Neurospora crassa OR74A: one gene and its partners. The protein of the gene in region 4 interacts with the protein of the main gene of each other region in a pairwise test. Links are inferred from orthologs where the notes say so. Each region holds a gene or a part of one and is shown on either strand. Other genes may lie near its edges. The genes, in order: NCU00225, NCU08030, NCU03118 and NCU03947.

The links.
Region 1: the proteins of NCU03947 (region 4) and NCU00225 interact in binary tests that used the Saccharomyces cerevisiae proteins (3 or more experiments, as listed by UniProt). The link is inferred for Neurospora crassa OR74A from reciprocal best matches to the Saccharomyces cerevisiae genes RSP5 and STM1.
Region 2: the proteins of NCU03947 (region 4) and NCU08030 interact in binary tests that used the Saccharomyces cerevisiae proteins (3 or more experiments, as listed by UniProt). The link is inferred for Neurospora crassa OR74A from reciprocal best matches to the Saccharomyces cerevisiae genes RSP5 and RPB8.
Region 3: the proteins of NCU03947 (region 4) and NCU03118 interact in binary tests that used the Saccharomyces cerevisiae proteins (3 or more experiments, as listed by UniProt). The link is inferred for Neurospora crassa OR74A from reciprocal best matches to the Saccharomyces cerevisiae genes RSP5 and LYS1.

What each region holds. Positions count from the first base shown.
Region 1 is NC_026503.1:3,075,195-3,079,701, reverse strand, and holds NCU00225 (hypothetical protein), read right to left. Parts: upstream 3,134-4,507; 5' UTR 2,976-3,133; coding exon 2,958-2,975; intron 2,649-2,957; coding exon 2,630-2,648; intron 2,497-2,629; coding exon 2,338-2,496; intron 2,276-2,337; coding exon 2,110-2,275; intron 2,049-2,109; coding exon 1,454-2,048; 3' UTR 674-1,453; downstream 1-673. UniProt on the Saccharomyces cerevisiae protein: Ribosome preservation factor that protect a small pool of nontranslating, vacant ribosomes in cells under nutrient starvation conditions.
Region 2 is NC_026504.1:3,966,261-3,969,920, reverse strand, and holds NCU08030 (UDP-glucose 4-epimerase Gal10), read left to right. Parts: upstream 1-1,709; 5' UTR 1,710-1,870; coding exon 1,871-2,217; exon of another isoform or gene 2,218-2,307; coding exon 2,308-2,419; 3' UTR 2,420-2,720; downstream 2,721-3,660. Other genes in the region: NCU08031 (paxneb protein superfamily), read right to left, coding at 232-1,401; NCU08029 (thiamine pyrophosphokinase), read right to left, coding at 2,721-3,660. UniProt on the Saccharomyces cerevisiae protein: DNA-dependent RNA polymerases catalyze the transcription. of DNA into RNA using the four ribonucleoside triphosphates as substrates.
Region 3 is NC_026501.1:4,623,909-4,628,256, reverse strand, and holds NCU03118 (hypothetical protein), read left to right. Parts: upstream 1-1,761; 5' UTR 1,762-1,946; coding exon 1,947-2,235; intron 2,236-2,303; coding exon 2,304-2,717; intron 2,718-2,788; coding exon 2,789-2,854; intron 2,855-3,042; coding exon 3,043-3,392; 3' UTR 3,393-3,816; downstream 3,817-4,348. Other genes in the region: NCU03120 (uncharacterized protein), read right to left, coding at 1-23. UniProt on the Saccharomyces cerevisiae protein: Catalyzes the NAD(+)-dependent cleavage of saccharopine to L-lysine and 2-oxoglutarate, the final step in the alpha-aminoadipate (AAA) pathway for lysine biosynthesis.
Region 4 is NC_026506.1:2,205,679-2,210,239, forward strand, and holds the start of NCU03947 (ubiquitin ligase), read left to right. Parts: upstream 1-1,395; 5' UTR 1,396-2,230; coding exon 2,231-2,262; intron 2,263-2,378; coding exon 2,379-2,401; intron 2,402-2,465; coding exon 2,466-2,504; intron 2,505-2,586; coding exon 2,587-2,692; intron 2,693-2,752; coding exon 2,753-2,886; intron 2,887-2,962; coding exon 2,963-4,561. UniProt on the Saccharomyces cerevisiae protein: E3 ubiquitin-protein ligase which accepts ubiquitin from an E2 ubiquitin-conjugating enzyme in the form of a thioester and then directly transfers the ubiquitin to targeted substrates.

The DNA of each region.
Region 1 (4,507 bases), on a different chromosome or scaffold from region 4:
GGGCTTGTTGTGCAAGCAAGTACTCTGTAGAGCTTGTCGGTAGGGTTTGTGCGCATTACCACCGACATAAAGCATCATGCATGCAGATGCGCGCATGTAACTTGATGCAGATTGTCAGAGTTGTATTCAAGGATCTAGAATCATCCATCGTGAGGTGAGAAAGCAACAGGAGACTTCGTCACTAGGTCTCTTGCAAATGGATTGTATGTATCACCACTTACTTAGATGATGTGCAAAGTCGGACCGAGCATAGAGTCTACCATAAGTTTCCACAGATTCTGGCTTGTCTGAGATATGAAAGCCAGGATGACTGGAGTTCTCCGGCAGTGTCACATCTTCGAAGCATATGAGGATGAGGGAGGGAACCTCGAGGTTGAGAATGTAACTTGGAGAGGATGGAGAGAGAGAAAGGTTGTAAGATTGAAGGTAGATATCGCTAGTGTTGTCATGGAAGTGAAATGTACATCAGGTCATGTCTTGTATGGTATGGCGGCTGTGATATGGATAAGTAATCATGGGGTTGTGATGGAGAGGGTGTTTTGCACAAGACAAGAAAGGGACACAAAAGAGTGGTCTGTTTACCTGGACCTAGGTCATAGTGAAGGGGTGGTTAGTAAGAACCGCCGAGTTCGGAGTTTGAAATGGAAATGAAAAGGTCTACTACAAGTACTTGTGTGTCAATATCATCGTCAGTGATTTTCCATCTTATTATGTGCCTATGGCGACCAGTCAGTTCAAGATCACGGTGCAGCAAGAACTTCACTTGTCCAGTGAGACATCGAAAAGTGCACTTAAACAGCCAACACAGTGTTGAGTACAAGTCACGGATCAGTGTCAGCTTGTTGTGCCTTTGCCAGAGGAATCCAAAACACTTGTTTTGATATTGCTGCTCTGCCTGATGCCTTTTGCCAGATGCCATATTGGGTGTTAATCCAAAACAAGCCTGTCTTATGTCCATTCTTACGACCTTGCCATGGTCGAGCTATGTCATAGTGCCACCTAGACTATAGCGTGTGTGTCTTTTTGCCCTCTGGATGGTTGCCATCCCATCCTTTGTCTGCGGTTTGAACCGGGTAAAAAGTGAAATATATCCTAGGTATAACGTTCATGCATGGAAGGAAAGGGGATAGATACGGGGAGGAACCAGGTCATACGAACGCGCGCAATTTCAACTTTCGAGCTTGAACAGTTTTACTTTGTTCGATTCCGCGGTAAGTGGTGGACAGATAAGGAAAACCTCTTTCACGGTTCCGGTGTTCATGAACCACTTTTCCGCTAAAGGTGAATGCAACCAAACAGACGAACACCGACCCCATGCTGGCTGCTTTTTTTATCCCAACCCGCCGCCATCCTGATTCTGACATTGCCGCCTCGAAGAGAAAATAAAGGGGGGGCCGTGTGACTGAATAGTCTGGCTTCGATGTATGGTCGTTATGCCGATATTGAGAGGCATTTAGTTGCCGAGGCTGGGGAAGGCAGACTCATCGTTGGGGTTGATGGGAGCAGCCTTGTTCTCGGCGCGGGGAGCACCGCCACGGGCAGCACCACGGGCAGCACCACGGGGAGCGCCACGGCCACGGCCGGCGTCACCACGGGGACCACCGCGGCCACCGCGGGCACCACCACGAGCGGGACGCTCGGGCTCGACGAAACGCTGGTCGATCTCGAGGACCTGCTTGACCTTGCGCTCACGCTCGCGCTGCTTCTTGCCGGCGGAGCCAGCAATGAACTCCTCGGTCTCATCCTTCTTGAGGGGCTTGGCGTTGGCCCACTTCTTGTCCTCAACGACACCCTCGTTGGCCTTGCGGACCTTGAGGGCGGCCTCGGCCTCGAGAGCGGCCTTCTTCTCGGCGAGCTGGGCAAGGTACTCAGAGTAGGAGACGTGCTTCTCCTCCTCCTCCTCGGGGATAGCCTCAGCGGCGGCCTCACCCTCGGTGGTGGCCTCCTTCTGCTCAGTCTTGGCGATCTCCTCGGCGGCCTGCTCATCCTTCAGCTCGGCCTGGCCCTCGGTGGCGCCCCAGGAAAGGGCAGCCTGCTTCTCGGATCCGCTAGTCAGGGTGTTAGTGGACGGAGGTGCCTGTGGCTAGAAATTGCTTGACCGGAACATACGAGGGGATGGACTTAGAGTGGCGGTCATCCGAGGTGTTACGGGGGTGACGGCCACCGCGACCACCGCGGACGCGGGCGTTAGCGCCGCCGCGGGGACCACGAGCAGCACCCTCCTCAGTGGGCTTGCCACGGTTGCGGTCGCTGCCGGCGTTGCGGTCGCGGAAAGCTGGGACCGAAAATGTCAGTTGAGAGGGTAGCCATGGTTAGCATGTTGGATGATCAACATACCGGCCTCGTTGCCGGTCAAGTTAGAGCGACGGCCAGAGCCCTGAGCGGGGGCCTTGCTGGGAGCGACGCCATCGGAGTTGCGCTTGGTGGTGTGGGTCGAGGTCTTCTCGACGATCTTAGCAGGGGCGGCGGGAGCGGTGTTATCCTCCACGTCGTTGCCTGAATGAAAACAATCGATCCGTCAGTATTGGTGGTTCCTTGGATTGCGGTGTTCAATGTTCCTCCTCGCCCTGCCAATTTCGAGTGTGCCGTCGCGTGGGTTCCGTAATTCACAGGAGGGTGGGCAACCAACCGAGCAGATCGAACAGGTTCTGTAGAAAAAGAATCGCAATCGGTTAGTTTCTTGCTGTCTTGAGCTCTAGATTTTCGCGGTATGGCCGGCTGCTGCTCGCTGTGCGTCTGGATCCCCATTCTCCAAGCCTCCCTCCTCTTTCGGATCCCAAATTGTCGCAAGGAGCCGGTGTTGGCGGACTCGCTCGGAAACAAAAATGAAGCTCTCAGTTTCATTTCACGGCGAGGTCCAACCACGGGGTCATCCATATCCGCTGCACAGCATGCAGCTCTCGGCCGACCGTGAAACCGGCCATTTCGGAGATTGACGGGGAGAGAGATAAACACACCTTGGAAGCGACCGACATCTTTGCGCTTGACAGGACGTTGGCCTGACTCAATGCGCTTCTTCTAGACGGGGTTGGGTAGGGGGGGCGGACGACAGCGACAACGACGTCTGATGCTCGCTGTGGTGTCGTAAAAGATTTTGGCAAATCGCTCCCGGGCCACAGGGAGCTCGGACCAGGTTTTGGCAGTGGCACGGATCACAGAGACGCTCGTGCCCCGCCCACCTGCACCAAATCTCCCCTCCAAGGCCCTGCTCTGGCCCTCTTTGCCGCTGTTCCCCGCTTCCAACTTTGACTGCCGTTTTGGCTTTTTGGTGAAATTTCAGTGCGCCGCTGTTATTGGTGGTTAGGGCTACCACTTTGCACGCTGCCTGCCCTTTGTTACCAATGTGACGTGCGTATCGATCCGTACACGCCGTAACTTTGCCTGTTTGAGCTCTGCTCCCAATCCGGCAAGTCTTGGCAGAGTGTTTGCAGCTGCGACGACAACCACTCACGACCATAGACATCATCGTCACCAAGGTAAACAAACCACTGGAAACACATCCGTCACAAACACCTGACGGAAGCTGCCGCTTTATATGCCAAGTTGACGCATTCCTGCTGAGGTGACAGCCTTCTATGAGATCGGACCTGCCTCAAGCACCCCGGACTTCCTGTCAACGGACTTCATGCCAAAAAGGCACGCATTGCCGTCGTGCTTTTAGACACCGGACGTCATGTCTTTCTTGGGGAAGTATTACCTTGGTTGCTGTGCTTGACGGCTTGCCAACAGGTGCTTGATCACGGCCACATTGGAGAGGTCATCACGGACCACTTGAGCAGTTTGATATGCAGCGTGGACCTTTCACCTTTTTTTTTCTTTTTCTTTCTGTTTTTTTTTTCCAACCCCTACTTCTATCTTACTTCCTTTCATTCAAGACTTCTCTGGAAAGTCTGCCATATGCCATGATGTAGAACAGTGTTGGAAGTTGTATAGGTTCTACGTGTCTGTTGAACCGCATCACCCTCAAATCACAGCGGCTCTGCATGCGTTTCCACAAGTGTGGTTCTGGATGGACTCACCCGTTGGTTTGCATCTGACAGTCATGGCAGAGAGTGGACGCTGTGGCGACGAAGCTCAAACAGCAACTATATTAGGACGAGTACCGTTCGCCAGTCGAAGCAGTTGCCAATGGATGTTGAATTCATGAATTGAAGCTCCCCTTTTTAACACACTTGTTTACTTCCTCGTGGCCCTTCGAGGCGGAGATGGACATACATCTGCAAAATACATAACCTTTACCACATTAGAGTCCTGTCCTCGCATCGAGAATGGAAGATAGCCATCAGCAAATGTCTCTTTGTTGTAGGTTAGTTAACCTGAGATATCGGTATCAACTAATCCAGTTATTGTACGGATAACAAGTCGCGGAGAGCCATTTCATCATGATCAATATGCAAGTCGACTTCCTTCTTTGTTGTGTAGCTCTGCAATTCCTTTCTCTCCTTTTCATCTGCCTTTTCAAGATTCTACTGCATTTCTCGTGTCTTGCTTTTCACCCAACATCGAG
Region 2 (3,660 bases), on a different chromosome or scaffold from region 4:
CCCAGGTGTTGCTGTACGCCCGTAGGTAGCTCCAGGCGGGCGTCCACCAATGGTTTCAGTGGCTCGAGTGGACTTACAGCGTGCCCAATACCTGGGCAAGTAAAGAGACGGGAGTTTCAATGATGATCAAGAAGCTCACCTGAACATATGATGAGACTGCCAAAAGGGGGCCAAAAAAAGTCGGTTATTTGCAAAAAAACAAGCCGTTAAATTGCCAAGCGGAAGATGACTTTAGAAATCAAGCCCATCCTTCTTTGGAGCAGCTGAGGGCTTCTCCTGCTCATCCTCGAGCATAGGCGGGAGACTGTACGGTTTGATCACCAAGCCCTTGGATGCGCTCAAGCTGAATGACAGGTTCTCACGGAATTGGCCCGACTCTGCTCCTCCACCACCCTTCTCATGATACACAGGCAGTGTGTATACTTTGAACATACCCTGGGGTTGCTCGTTTGCCTTGGGATCCGACCTTGAGGGCGGCGGTGGCGCGGCACCTAGCCTGGCAGGCAAGGGGATGAGCTCGACGACGCCGTCACAAAGAATTTCTATCCACCGGACCAGGCCTGAACTGCGAGGGAATAAGGACGTCGGGAAGGTAATGATTGCTGTGAGCTGGGTGCTGTACAGTCGAAGGAGAGCCCGGAGCCCATGTAGAAACTGTAGAACCTCTGATGGTTGGGCGCATCCAGGAGGATAGAGGGTTGGTGAGAGGAGACTGGGCACCACCAGTCTATGAATGGCGTTTGATCCTGAGCTCTCCAACTTGGCCCGCAATTGCTTGAGAAGCATCTTCAGAGGAGAAGCTGTCCCAACACTTTTCCGGTCTAAGCTCGGGGAACCGCCAACTGAAATCGGGTTCAGAGTACCCTTGGACTCGGAGCTGGCAAGCCTCTTGCTGAGATCAAAGGAGTGACAGAAAGGCGCTCCAGAATCCCCACGAGCAGAAGCTCCTGCATTGGCGTTGTTACCCAAGGACTCATATCTCCACGCAATCTTCATCTTCTCTTCGGGTGCCGGCGCCGGTGATGCACTCTTTGACTTCTTGTCAGGTGAAGCCAGCCCTGGAAGCTGATGCCTCCATTCTGGCGGAAAGGCTACTGCGTGAACCTGATGCCCTTGGACGAGACCCTCGGCAGCATAGTACCGTAGAAGAATTCCAGAGAAGTCGGTGGTCCCTTGCTCCTCAACCAGTAAGCATGTTCCTAAGGGGAGTCCACCGTGTCCTGCAAGAAGTTGGTCCAGGGAAGCAGTGCCAGTTGAAGTGGTCAACCTGCCATCAGTTGGTGATGGTCGAAGACCCGGCGCAAGCTGCGTTTCCTGTTTGGGTTGCTGCTGCTGGGGAGCGGACGGCGTGAGTCCGGCTCTCGGTGAGGATAGGACGGTGTTTCTTTTGACGAAGGACATAGTTCAGTCGGCAAGTTGCAGTCCTTATTTGAGTATCGAATCCAAACTTGATGATGTTGAGGTATGTATTCTTCAAGTCCAAATATAGTCGATTCGATCCCTGGAAGAAATTCCATGGAAGCTTGGACGTCACTGGAGTGCCTGAGAGCCCCGCTGTACTTTTGTCACACACTGGACGGGCGTGACAGGGATTTTCAATGGTGGTTGCCCCACTACTTGCCCCGGCATCCTGGTCCAATTGCCGCAAGGCTGGAATTTTTTGGGACGGCAACTGCATGGCGGCATCTCCATCGCTCAGTCGCATCTCCAAAAGTTTCCCCAAACACCATCATTACTACCGCTCGCGACAATTCGTTTTACCCACCTATCGACACGCGTTTGATACTCGACCAAAATCTGACACTAGTATCCTTCCGAGCAATCAATATCCAACATCGACTGTTTCATCGATTCCACACCAGCATTCACAATGTCCGCCCTCACGTCCGACGCCCAACTCTTCGAGGACGAGTTCAAGGTCGAGAGAATCAGCGATCCCAAGTACGACCGCGTCGACCGTCTGTACTGCACCTCCGTCGATGGCCAGACCAGCATGCAGCTCGATGTCAACAAGGAGCTCTTCCCTGTCAAGGTCGGCGAGTACCTTAGAATTGCATTGGCTACTTCCTTGTCCCTCGACGGTAGCAAGGACGACGAGAGGGGTTGGCGCGATGCTGCCAAGCTCGGTAGCGTTGAGCAGACCCTGGCCGACAGCTATGAGTATGTCTGCCATGGCAAGGTCTACAAGTTTGAGGATGGAAAGGATGGCCAGACCATGTAAGTTGTTGCCTGGGAATTGGGCAGGAGTATCTCGACCTTGGAATTCGGGGAAAATGAGTGGCTGACTGGTTCGGTTGCGAAATTTAGCAAGGCGTATATGTCCTACGGTGGTCTTCTGATGGCCCTCGATGGTCCCTACAAGAAGCTCACGCCCCTGCGTGTCGACTACGTCTACCTCCTCGCCAACAGGAACGCTTGAGAGCTGAAATTTCCGGAGAATAAAAAATTGAAAAAAAGCAAATGTTTCCAGCGGCTAAATAGCATCAGACCGATCAAGAGTCTAGGGCGCGAGCAACATTCATTGGATCTTTGGAGGGCGAACGGGCGTTTAAGGTTATGCGTGGACCAGAAAAGGCATATCCTAGGGAAAAGGGGTCTGGGGAAAGTAATGAATCAACGATACCCGGAAAGCAAGTACCTGTATTTATGCCGCTACCGAGCCAAGGGCTGTCCATCTGCCTTTGGAAGAGCTAGTGCCCTGCGGAAGGTGCTCGATGGATTCAGGCCTGATGAGGACCGGGAAAGGCGATGTGTCGATGAGCCCGGTCACGAAATGCGTCGTAATGCGGCTCGTTTTCAGGCGTGTAAATGCCGTGCCGAACGAAGAAATCGAGCATGACGACGGCACAGTTCGGCTTCCACATTCCCTGGGCGAGCTGTTTCTGGATCTCCTCCACTGTGCACAAGCTGAAGCTCTCGACCTCGCCGTCTTTTGGCTCGGGGACGACACTTCCATCCGCAGGTAGCTCTAGATCATAAATCCATTGGCATTCCGGGTAGATCAACCCCGCCTCGCCTCCCGCGCGCTCGTCCGTGATGTAGATATAAGTGATGGTGCAGACCTCTTTGGCGTTGTTCCTCACGATATGCTCGGACAGTGAAGCCTCTTCGTCCGCCTCACGGATGACGCATTCGAAGGGGTCTTCGTTGGTCATCAAGCCACCCGCTACCGCGTTGTCCAACATGCTCGGATAGGTCGATTTGGTCGCGGACCGCTTGGGAACCCAGATTCTCAAGTCATACTTGCTGCTGGCATCCTGACGTCTGATGAAGGCGTTCATATGCACGCCGTAGCGTGTGGTTCCAAAGAGGCCCATAGCTGCCCGCTCTATGCTGAACACGAGCTCCTTGTTGCGACCATAAACTGGCCACAGCTCGTTTCGCCAGCTCTTGAGGATGGCAAATGCCTCTTGTTCACGCCAAAGCGCAGTGAGCTTTCCGACAAGCCGAGTGCGTTCCTCGTAGGTTTTGTCCGGGGCATCACGGAAGAGCACTACAGTCCTATTAGAGACATCGATGTGCAACCCTAACTGTCCTTTGAGAGTTGCCGGGGCTTTGTTGAGTGCATCGACAACGTCCAGCTTCACGTAGCCTATGGGTACCTGACCCTGCTGGTCTTCCCAGACGAACGTGTAGAAAGACTTCATGATCTGGGCATAA
Region 3 (4,348 bases), on a different chromosome or scaffold from region 4:
GTGGGCTCGGGTGTCCTGGCCATAGTCAAGTTCGGGAAATCTGTCGAGTTCCGGATTGGGATATCATCATCAACGGGATGTCAGTCGGGCCAGAGTCCAGGATCGGTAAGTGGGTGTAGTCGGGGTTCGTGGTCAGTTAAAGTGTGAGTGCGAGTGTGTGAATGGTGCGCGGTAGTGACTCGGGTGATGAGGTGTGAAGTTGTGTTACTGTCCGTTTGATGATGTCCAGAGGTCTTGAGGTCGCAGAGTGCTTAGGTATCCCTTTTTTCCCTTTTTTTTTTCCTTTTATTTTTTTTTCCGGTGGTTTTGCTCCTGTGTCTTTTCCAGCCAGTCCACGGTGCGGTAGAATCCTACAGTGTTCGACTGTGCGAAGAGTGCGTCAGTGTGTACAGAGCTGAAAGTAGGTAATGGGGATAGGATAAAGGTAGGTAGACGGTAGTATATGGAAGAAGTACATGAGAGAAAATTCCAACGCCGCAGATGATGCGTAGGATGGCCGATCTACATGGGAGGTAGGTAGTCTTGGGGGGGCACGTTACGGATAGCACCGCGAGTCGGCGACCCCTAACAAAGCGAGCCCCAAAAAAAGAACAATTTCATGATGGCTTCTTCTTCAACAAAAGGGCACGCGGATCCCTGAACTGACGGGCAACCATGACGGAATGTAGCTTAGTTCGGACTTTGCTCCGACTGCCGAGGGGATTCGCCATCCATGAGTGGTTGCTGTTGGTGGTGTTGCATCTCCACGGCTATCTCCTGGTGAAAACTGGCGGCGATCCTGTTGTGCAACCGCTTTTCCATACTAAGGAATCCAGTGGTCGGTCCAGTCCGTTCCACAGTCTACATAGTGAGCTGAGGTGGCGGGTGTGGAACGGGGGTCGTCGGGCCCGGGGAGGGGGAGGGGCAGCAGTTGTTGTTGGCAGGCTATGGCGGCTCGGACGGGTGGGCAAATACCCGGGGGAGACCGGAGATACAACTAAGGGAAGGACCAATGTGGAAAGTCAAAAAGGGAACCCTTACACTATAAATTCTTATAGGGTTTGCCAAGCAAGCCCGACCTACCTCTACCTACTCCCCGTTGGACTCGCTGGCCCGCACATGAGACATCCATGGACGAGTCGGCTGGCTGCCAGCAGAATCCATCTTGGGGTCCAGCGAGGGTGAGCCAGCCTTTCCAGGTCCTCGGAATCTCGGAAATCTCTTTTGGATTGTCCAGACTTCTCGTCCAAACTCCGGTCCAGAGTGCTGATGCAAACAGGCAAGCCGAGAAAGGGGTTGGTCGGCCGGGGGCTGCTCCGACGAAACTGCGAAAACAAGTCATGACTGCAAGGTGCTAAGATACTGCAGTGGGCAGCTTCGCTATATTCACACTGACAGTTGCCCAGACACCACCATCTCATGAGGTCCATCGGGCCAGGTGCCGTCCTACAGGGGCACCCATTGGTCAGCACTTCCTGGCATCTTCAAGTCCCGACCAATTTACATCCGCTCCGCCATCCACTCCATGATAAAGGGCCATTAACACATCATAACATGTCAATATAAAAGCCGATGACGGGAGTCGCGATATATGTTTAGACAGCGAGTGGGATTCTGCTTCACAGTTTGAGAACATGTGGTAGTAAGCATGAACATGATTACCTCTAGGGATTATTCGACGTAGGTATATCCTGTACCAAGGTACCTACCTCTCAAATGGAAATGCACGCTCACAAAAATAATATGGGGCCAATCCTCCAAGGGGCACTGGGGCTTCCCGTCCCTCCCCATTCTGCCAGCCTGGCGGGCCCTGTTTTCCCGCAGTGGCAGTGACTCAATCAACCCTGGCAGCCCATCCCGCAGGCCATGCCCGATCTCGCCCTGGCCCGTATAAAACAAATCTCTCCATTATCCATCTTCAACTTCCTCATTCCTTGTTTTCCATAATTCAACGTCCCCTTCACAAAATGGCCCCTACCGTTCTCCACCTCCGCAGCGAGACCAAGCATCTCGAGCACCGGTCTGCGCTCACCCCCACCACCACCGCCGAGCTCATCAAGGCTGGCTACATCGTCAACGTCGAGCGCTCCCCCGAGCGAATTTTCGACGATGAGGAGTTCGAGAAGGCTGGCGCCACTCTGGTGCCTGAGCACAGCTGGGTCGATGCTCCCAAGGAGCACATCATTGTTGGCCTGAAGGAGTTGGAGGAGAAGGATTTCCCTCTCAAGCACGTTCATGTTCAGTTCGCTCACTGCTGTAAGTTTTGCCACGTCCGGCACTTTTTTGGTGGCCAGGAGAATCATCGCTGACTCGAGACAACACAGACAAGCAGCAAGCCGGTTGGGAGAACGTTCTTGCCAGATTCCCCCGCGGTGGCGGCACTCTTCTTGACCTCGAGTTCTTGGTTGATGAGCACGGTCGCCGTGTGGCTGCTTTCGGCTTCCATGCTGGTTTCGCCGGTGCCGCCCTTGCCCTCGAGGTGTGGGCTTGGCAGCTCAACCACAGCGAGCCCTTCCCCGGCGTCGAGAGCTACCCCAACGAGGATGCTCTGATTGCCGACGTCAAGAAGGCTGTCAAGGAGGGTGTTGAGGCGGCCGGCCGTCTTCCCCGCGTGATCGTCATTGGTGCCCGTGGCCGTTGCGGCTCCGGTGCCGTCAGCGCTCTCAAGAAGGCCGGTATCCCCGATGAGAACATTCTCGACTGGGATATGGCCGAGACTGCGAAGGGCGGTCCTTTCAGTATGTTTTTGGAACCAGCACACCCCTAGGACTCACCAGATCTGGAACAAAAGTACTGACTACCATCACAGAGGAGATCACCGACAGCGACATTTTTGTCAACTGCATCTACCTCACCAGCAAGATTCCCAACTTTGGTATGTGTATTCCCCTTCCTTTCCCCCCCCTTTTTTTTCGGGGACAGCTTAAGTCACTACAAAGCCGAAAAATCGGTCTCACTCCCAGCCTGGCCCACATCCACATATTCCAGCCTCCAGCAACAAACAGCCTTCCCCTCACCAAAAAAAAACAAGAACCGGGAGCACCCTCACTAACAAAGTACCAGTGAACATGGAGTCCCTCCAGGTCCCCGACCGCCAGCTCCGCGTAGTCTGCGACGTCTCCGCCGACACCACCTCTCCCTTCACCCCGGTGCCCATCTACACGGTGGCCACGACCTTCGACAAGCCTACGGTTCCTGTCGACGGGCTGACCTCGGGTCCTCCTCTCTCCGTCATCTCCATCGACCACCTCCCCTCGCTTCTGCCGCGCGAGGCTTCCGAGGCCTTCAGCCATGATTTGCTTCCCTCGTTGCTTACGCTTAATGACTGGCAGAACTCGCCTGTCTGGGCGCGGGCGAAGCAGTTGTTTGATGAGAAGGTTGCTACTTTGCCGGAGAGTGCCCTCCAGAAGTAAAAGGCCTCTCTTGAAAAAGAAAAATGAGCACGGGCGGAGGAAAAGTACGGACTTGATCGCTTTTTGTGGGGGAAAATAAAAGGACGTATGCAGGGACCGATATTTTCAAAATAAAATGAAGCATAGAGAAAAAGGAGAACGGATGTGAAAGAAAAAGACACTGTACATGACAGAGACTAGAAGGAATAGCTCATGAAGATATGAACGGACGAACTAAATCGATAGATGTCGGCAGACGGCTTCATTCCTTAGAAAAAGGTAGAAGTAGAAAAGGGCAGTGTCGAGAGTAGACTTGGTCATTTCACTCAACTAGGGAGACTGTTCACGCAAGTATGAATATCACACACTTGGACATTGGGAATTTCCAAGCACTATTACTTTACGATGATAGTCTTCAAGAATACCTATGTCGGTTTTGTTGAACAATGCTTTTGAACATTTCGATAATCATACATTTTCCGGCCGGAAAATACCGCAAAATCATGATATTTATCTTCACAATTGTCGGGGCTCGAATTCTCTTCTGACTTCATAGAGTGGTACGGAGAACAGCGCGAACCATGCACATTCCACAATCATCACGCCACTGGCAAAAGTATCGAATATCATGGTTGTACACTATTGCAAAAGATGAATGTCAACAACTGACGATCGCATCCATGATCAAGTAGCCCCAGATGCAGATCACATACGGGGATGCGTCGATACACGAACCCGCAAAAAAACACACACACAAACACAAACGAGCACATGAATAATTCAGGAGACAAGCGAAAATTGTGTGTGATCCATCAACAAGTTCCTTTTAAATTCCGGGCAACGTCGCCTATCGACGTGCTCAAGCCTTCTCTTTTGCAGGCTGAATCTATCTGCGTTCTATATCGCACAACATCTTGATTCCGTGTGATCCCTCAAAAAGTTCCCATTCAACAATCCCATGATATCGCCACCGAACT
Region 4 (4,561 bases):
CAATATACAAAGGGCATGCAAATGACAACTCAACAGACACCTGCGCAAGACATCTTTGCTCCGACAAGACCGAAGGCGGTTGTGGTGAAATTCAAAGAGGCTGGTTTTTGAGGTATAGTAGAGTGAGTACTTACCTAGGTAGAAGAGCTATACGCGGATTGCGCATTACCTCTACCACTTTTTAGAAGTGTCGAACAAAGGGCGCTCCACATTTGCTGTCTCGCTTCGTTCAATGATGACAGCCACTAGTGTAGTGTACAAACCTAGTGTACATATGATGGGTACCTCTATGCTTCCATGAACTCCCCATCGTCAAAAGCACCTCAACAAAAAAAGAAACCTCAATTGAAAATCCAGAGATGCAGTAACGCCCCGCAGTTCCGTCGCACGCGAGGGGTATCAAAATGGAAATGACGGGCGTTTATGTCGGTGATGCGCTATTGTTGGAACAGCAGCGTCTCGGTCGGCGGCAACGGGGGTACACTACATGTACTGGGATACGCTAAGTAGCGACCTAACGCCTTTTTGCACCCCGTGCGGTGTATCGTCGTTATGGGATGTAGAGGTGCTGTGCGTTGAATTGTCAAGGTTGAGGTTTGAAGTGTTCACTTTCCTAATTGACTGCCTCTGGAGGTTTCTTCAAAGTTCGGTAGTGGCTTGATATCTGGTAGATCTGCGCAAGATCATCATCATCCCCGATCGTTGGGCTACCTCTTGTGTAGAGTTTTTGGAACAGACAGCTTCTACTACAATCTTGGCGTTTCCTGGAGAGACCTCGGAGCTTGGGGCGGTCGGTGGAGGTGCTTTCCTACCCCTAGTCATGGAAAGGCATTCAGGCCAGCATAGCTACCTATTCTAATTCTCTGTGTCGATGACTGAGCCGTGATCCATGGGATATTTTCCTGACAGGGCATCAACTCCTAAGAAAAGACACGGGACTATGTGATCCATGTACACCAAGGTTGCTCTTTGTGTGCCAATGATGTTGTTGATGTTGATCTCGAGATCTGGATGCCGTGCCAAGCATGGAGTGAATGTGGCCCCCTGGGAGTCTGGGACTCGAATGACCCGACCAACTGCTTAAGAGAAGAAGTCAAGTACCGCACTGTGCGCACCTTCCGCTTCAGTTCTCGCTCTTTGCAGGCTTCTGCTAACTAGTTCCTGGCCTAAAAGTAGTCACTCGTTAATGCGATACCTGAGCTACTAACTGAAAAGTTAAGCTTCTCGCACAGAGCATGCTAGGCCAGCCATACTTTCCCGTTAATGCTGTTGAACCATTATGTCTTGTCACCTCCCCCTGTCTCTTCACCAATGCTAGATCCAACTTGGACTGTCAATTTCTTGGCTTGGGTCGTTGCACCATTGCACCTTTGCAACATCGCAAGACGTCCAGGTTTCTCGGTCGTTTTCCCTCCCATCCTTTGGCTCATCCGTCGGTTGCAACTTAGTGAAGGTCATTGAGCTCTTCACCTGGACCTTCTTGGGGTTGGTCCGTCGAACCCAAGCTCACCCACCCGCCACTTCCAGCAGCTTCACCGCGACAAAACAACGACAGCATTCAACCTCGACACTACTAACTAAAGGTACCCTTACCAGACGAACCTAGACATCCGAGCGAGTTTACACTACCTGCTGGTTGATCCACAGAAGTGGTTTCCTAAGTATCAGACCTGCCTTGCCGACCTTGCTAGTACAGAGATTACTTAGTATTACCAAGCCACAGCCGTCCAACCTTGGCCTCTTGGATTGCTTGGCCTTTCCTTGCAGTTCGCCTTCCGCCGCCGTGACTACCTGACAGCGTAAGATACCCAAAGCGGGGGGGCCGGCTGGCCACACACGCACGAGTTACCAAGAGCAGCACAGCCTCACCACCTACGGGCGCTCAAGAGTCCCTCTAGCTTCCATCTACCACCTACTGCCACCTACAGAATTTCATCCACCCTGCCGCATCCATTCCGTTGCCAGTGACTGCGCGTTCTCGTCAACGTCAGTGTCCATCGCAAGGAGAGTTGGCCCTTTTGTAACAATCATTCAGCCTGCTTGTACCATCGTCGACTTGTCCTCCTTTCATCCCCGCCCCGCCTGCATTCAGCCGCGAGTCCTCGATCCCAAACGAGCGAGAGCGACCGACTACCCGACCCGATTGCGACCAGCCTCTGCTTGGTCCAAGAAACGAGACGAAAACTTAAAGCCCCGCGTGCGAGTTTGTTGACGCGCTCCATCTGCAACAATGACCAGCAGCCGGGACTCGGGGCTGCCGGCGTAAGTTCTCCCACGACTGGACTCTCCATCTACCCATCTTGTCTGCTTTGCGTCGCCCTCAGGGACCGCGGATTATAAGCGAGAGAACAGCCAGCTAACAACCACCACGATTAAAGCCAGCCCAATCTCCGCGTAACAAGTACTCAGCCCCTTTGCGACGAATGTGTCCGATGACCAACCGGTGTACTAACATGCCCCTCTAGTCATCGCCGCCGATGGTCTATACAAGCGAGATGTCTTCAGTATGTTTCTCCCCGTGGCCAGGTGTCATGCATCTTCTAAGCCACTTCCAGGTGGCATATGCTAACCGCATCATCATCATAGGGTTTCCCGACCCGTTCGCCGTCGCTACCATTAACGGTGAGCAGACAAAGACCACCCAGGTCTCCAAGCGTACCCTAAACCCATACTGGAACGAACACTTTGATTTGTAGGTTCGACCTTAACTCAGATTTGACAGCCCAAGGGCCAGCTGGCTAATACAACGTAGCAAAGTGAATGAGGACAGCATTCTGGCTGTCCAGGTGTTCGACCAAAAGAAGTTCAAAAAGAAGGACCAAGGTTTCCTCGGTGTCATCAATGTCCGGATAGGGGACGTAATAGAATTGGCTCCCGATGCGGAAGGTAAGGTTTCACTGCAATTCACATGTGTTTGCAGGTTGACAGCGCGATTTGGGACTGACATGCACCACACCCACAGATCAGATGCTCACGCGGGACCTTAAGAAATCGACCGACAACCTTGTGGTGCACGGCAAACTGATCATAAACCTATCTACTAACCTCACAGCAACTATGAGTCGCCTCGGTCCCCCTCCATCTTCGAGCAGACCATCACTACTCACCCCTCAAAGTTCGGTTATTTCTAACGACAGAGCGAACGAACGTCCTTCATCAGCCATGTCCGGACCTAATGGAACCGCCAATAACATGACTTTGGCAAGCCGACCCGCCAGCCTGGCTGTTTCGTCGTCGTCGACAGCCCCGACCCCCGGGACAAATGGAACAGCCCCAACGAACCCGTCGACCCTCGTTCCGGCGCAAGCCAGGCACCATAGCACGCTTAGCCCCTTCGAAGATTCAATGGGAAGATTGCCAGCTGGCTGGGAACGTCGCGAGGATCATTTGGGGAGGACATATTATGTTGATCATAATTCACGGACCACGAGCTGGAATCGGCCAACTGGCACAGGGGCGGCCGAAAACCGTACCGCCGAAGCCAATACTCAAGTCGAGCGTCAACGGCATCAGAACAGAACACTTCCCGAGGACCGCACTGGCGCCAATTCCCCCACCCTACAGCAGCAGCAAGCTGCCGCCACCGCCAATGCTGCCACTATGATGCATACCGGGGCGACAACCCCCGGAACCGGTGAATTACCTGCTGGTTGGGAGCAGAGGTTTACCCCAGAAGGAAGGCCGTACTTTGTCGACCACAACACGCGCACTACTACCTGGGTCGACCCTCGACGCCAGCAGTACATTCGCATGTACGGTGGCCAGAACAACACGAACGGGACCATTCAACAACAGCCGGTGTCCCAGCTCGGTCCCCTGCCTAGTGGTTGGGAGATGCGGCTCACCAACACGGCTCGCGTCTACTTCGTGGATCACAATACCAAGACAACGACCTGGGATGATCCTCGTCTGCCTTCGTCGCTCGACCAGAACGTACCGCAGTACAAGAGAGACTTCAGGAGGAAGCTCATCTATTTCCGTTCGCAGCCTGCTATGCGGATCATGTCCGGACAGTGTCACATCAAGGTCAGGAGATCGCACATTTTCGAGGATTCGTTTGCGGAGATTTCGAGGCAATCGGCGACGGACCTGAAGAAACGATTGATGATCAAGTTCGACGGCGAGGACGGCCTCGATTACGGCGGTCTGTCGCGCGAGTTCTTCTTCCTCCTTTCTCACGAAATGTTCAATCCATTCTACTGCTTGTTCGAGTATTCGGCCCACGATAACTACACCCTCCAGATCAACCCCCACTCGGGTATCAACCCTGAGCATCTCAACTATTTCAAGTTCATTGGCCGGGTCGTGGGTCTGGCTATTTTCCACAGGCGATTCCTGGATGCCTTCTTCATTGGCGCTCTGTACAAGATGGTTCTCGGAAAGGCTGTCAGCTTGGCGGATATGGAGGGTGTGGATGCCGATTTCCATCGGTCTCTGCAGTGGATGCTGGATAACGACATCACCGACGTTCTTGACGCAACCTTCTCTACTGAAGACGAGCGGTTCGGCGTAATCACGGAGGAGGATCTAATCCCCAATGGTAGGAACATTGCGGTCACAA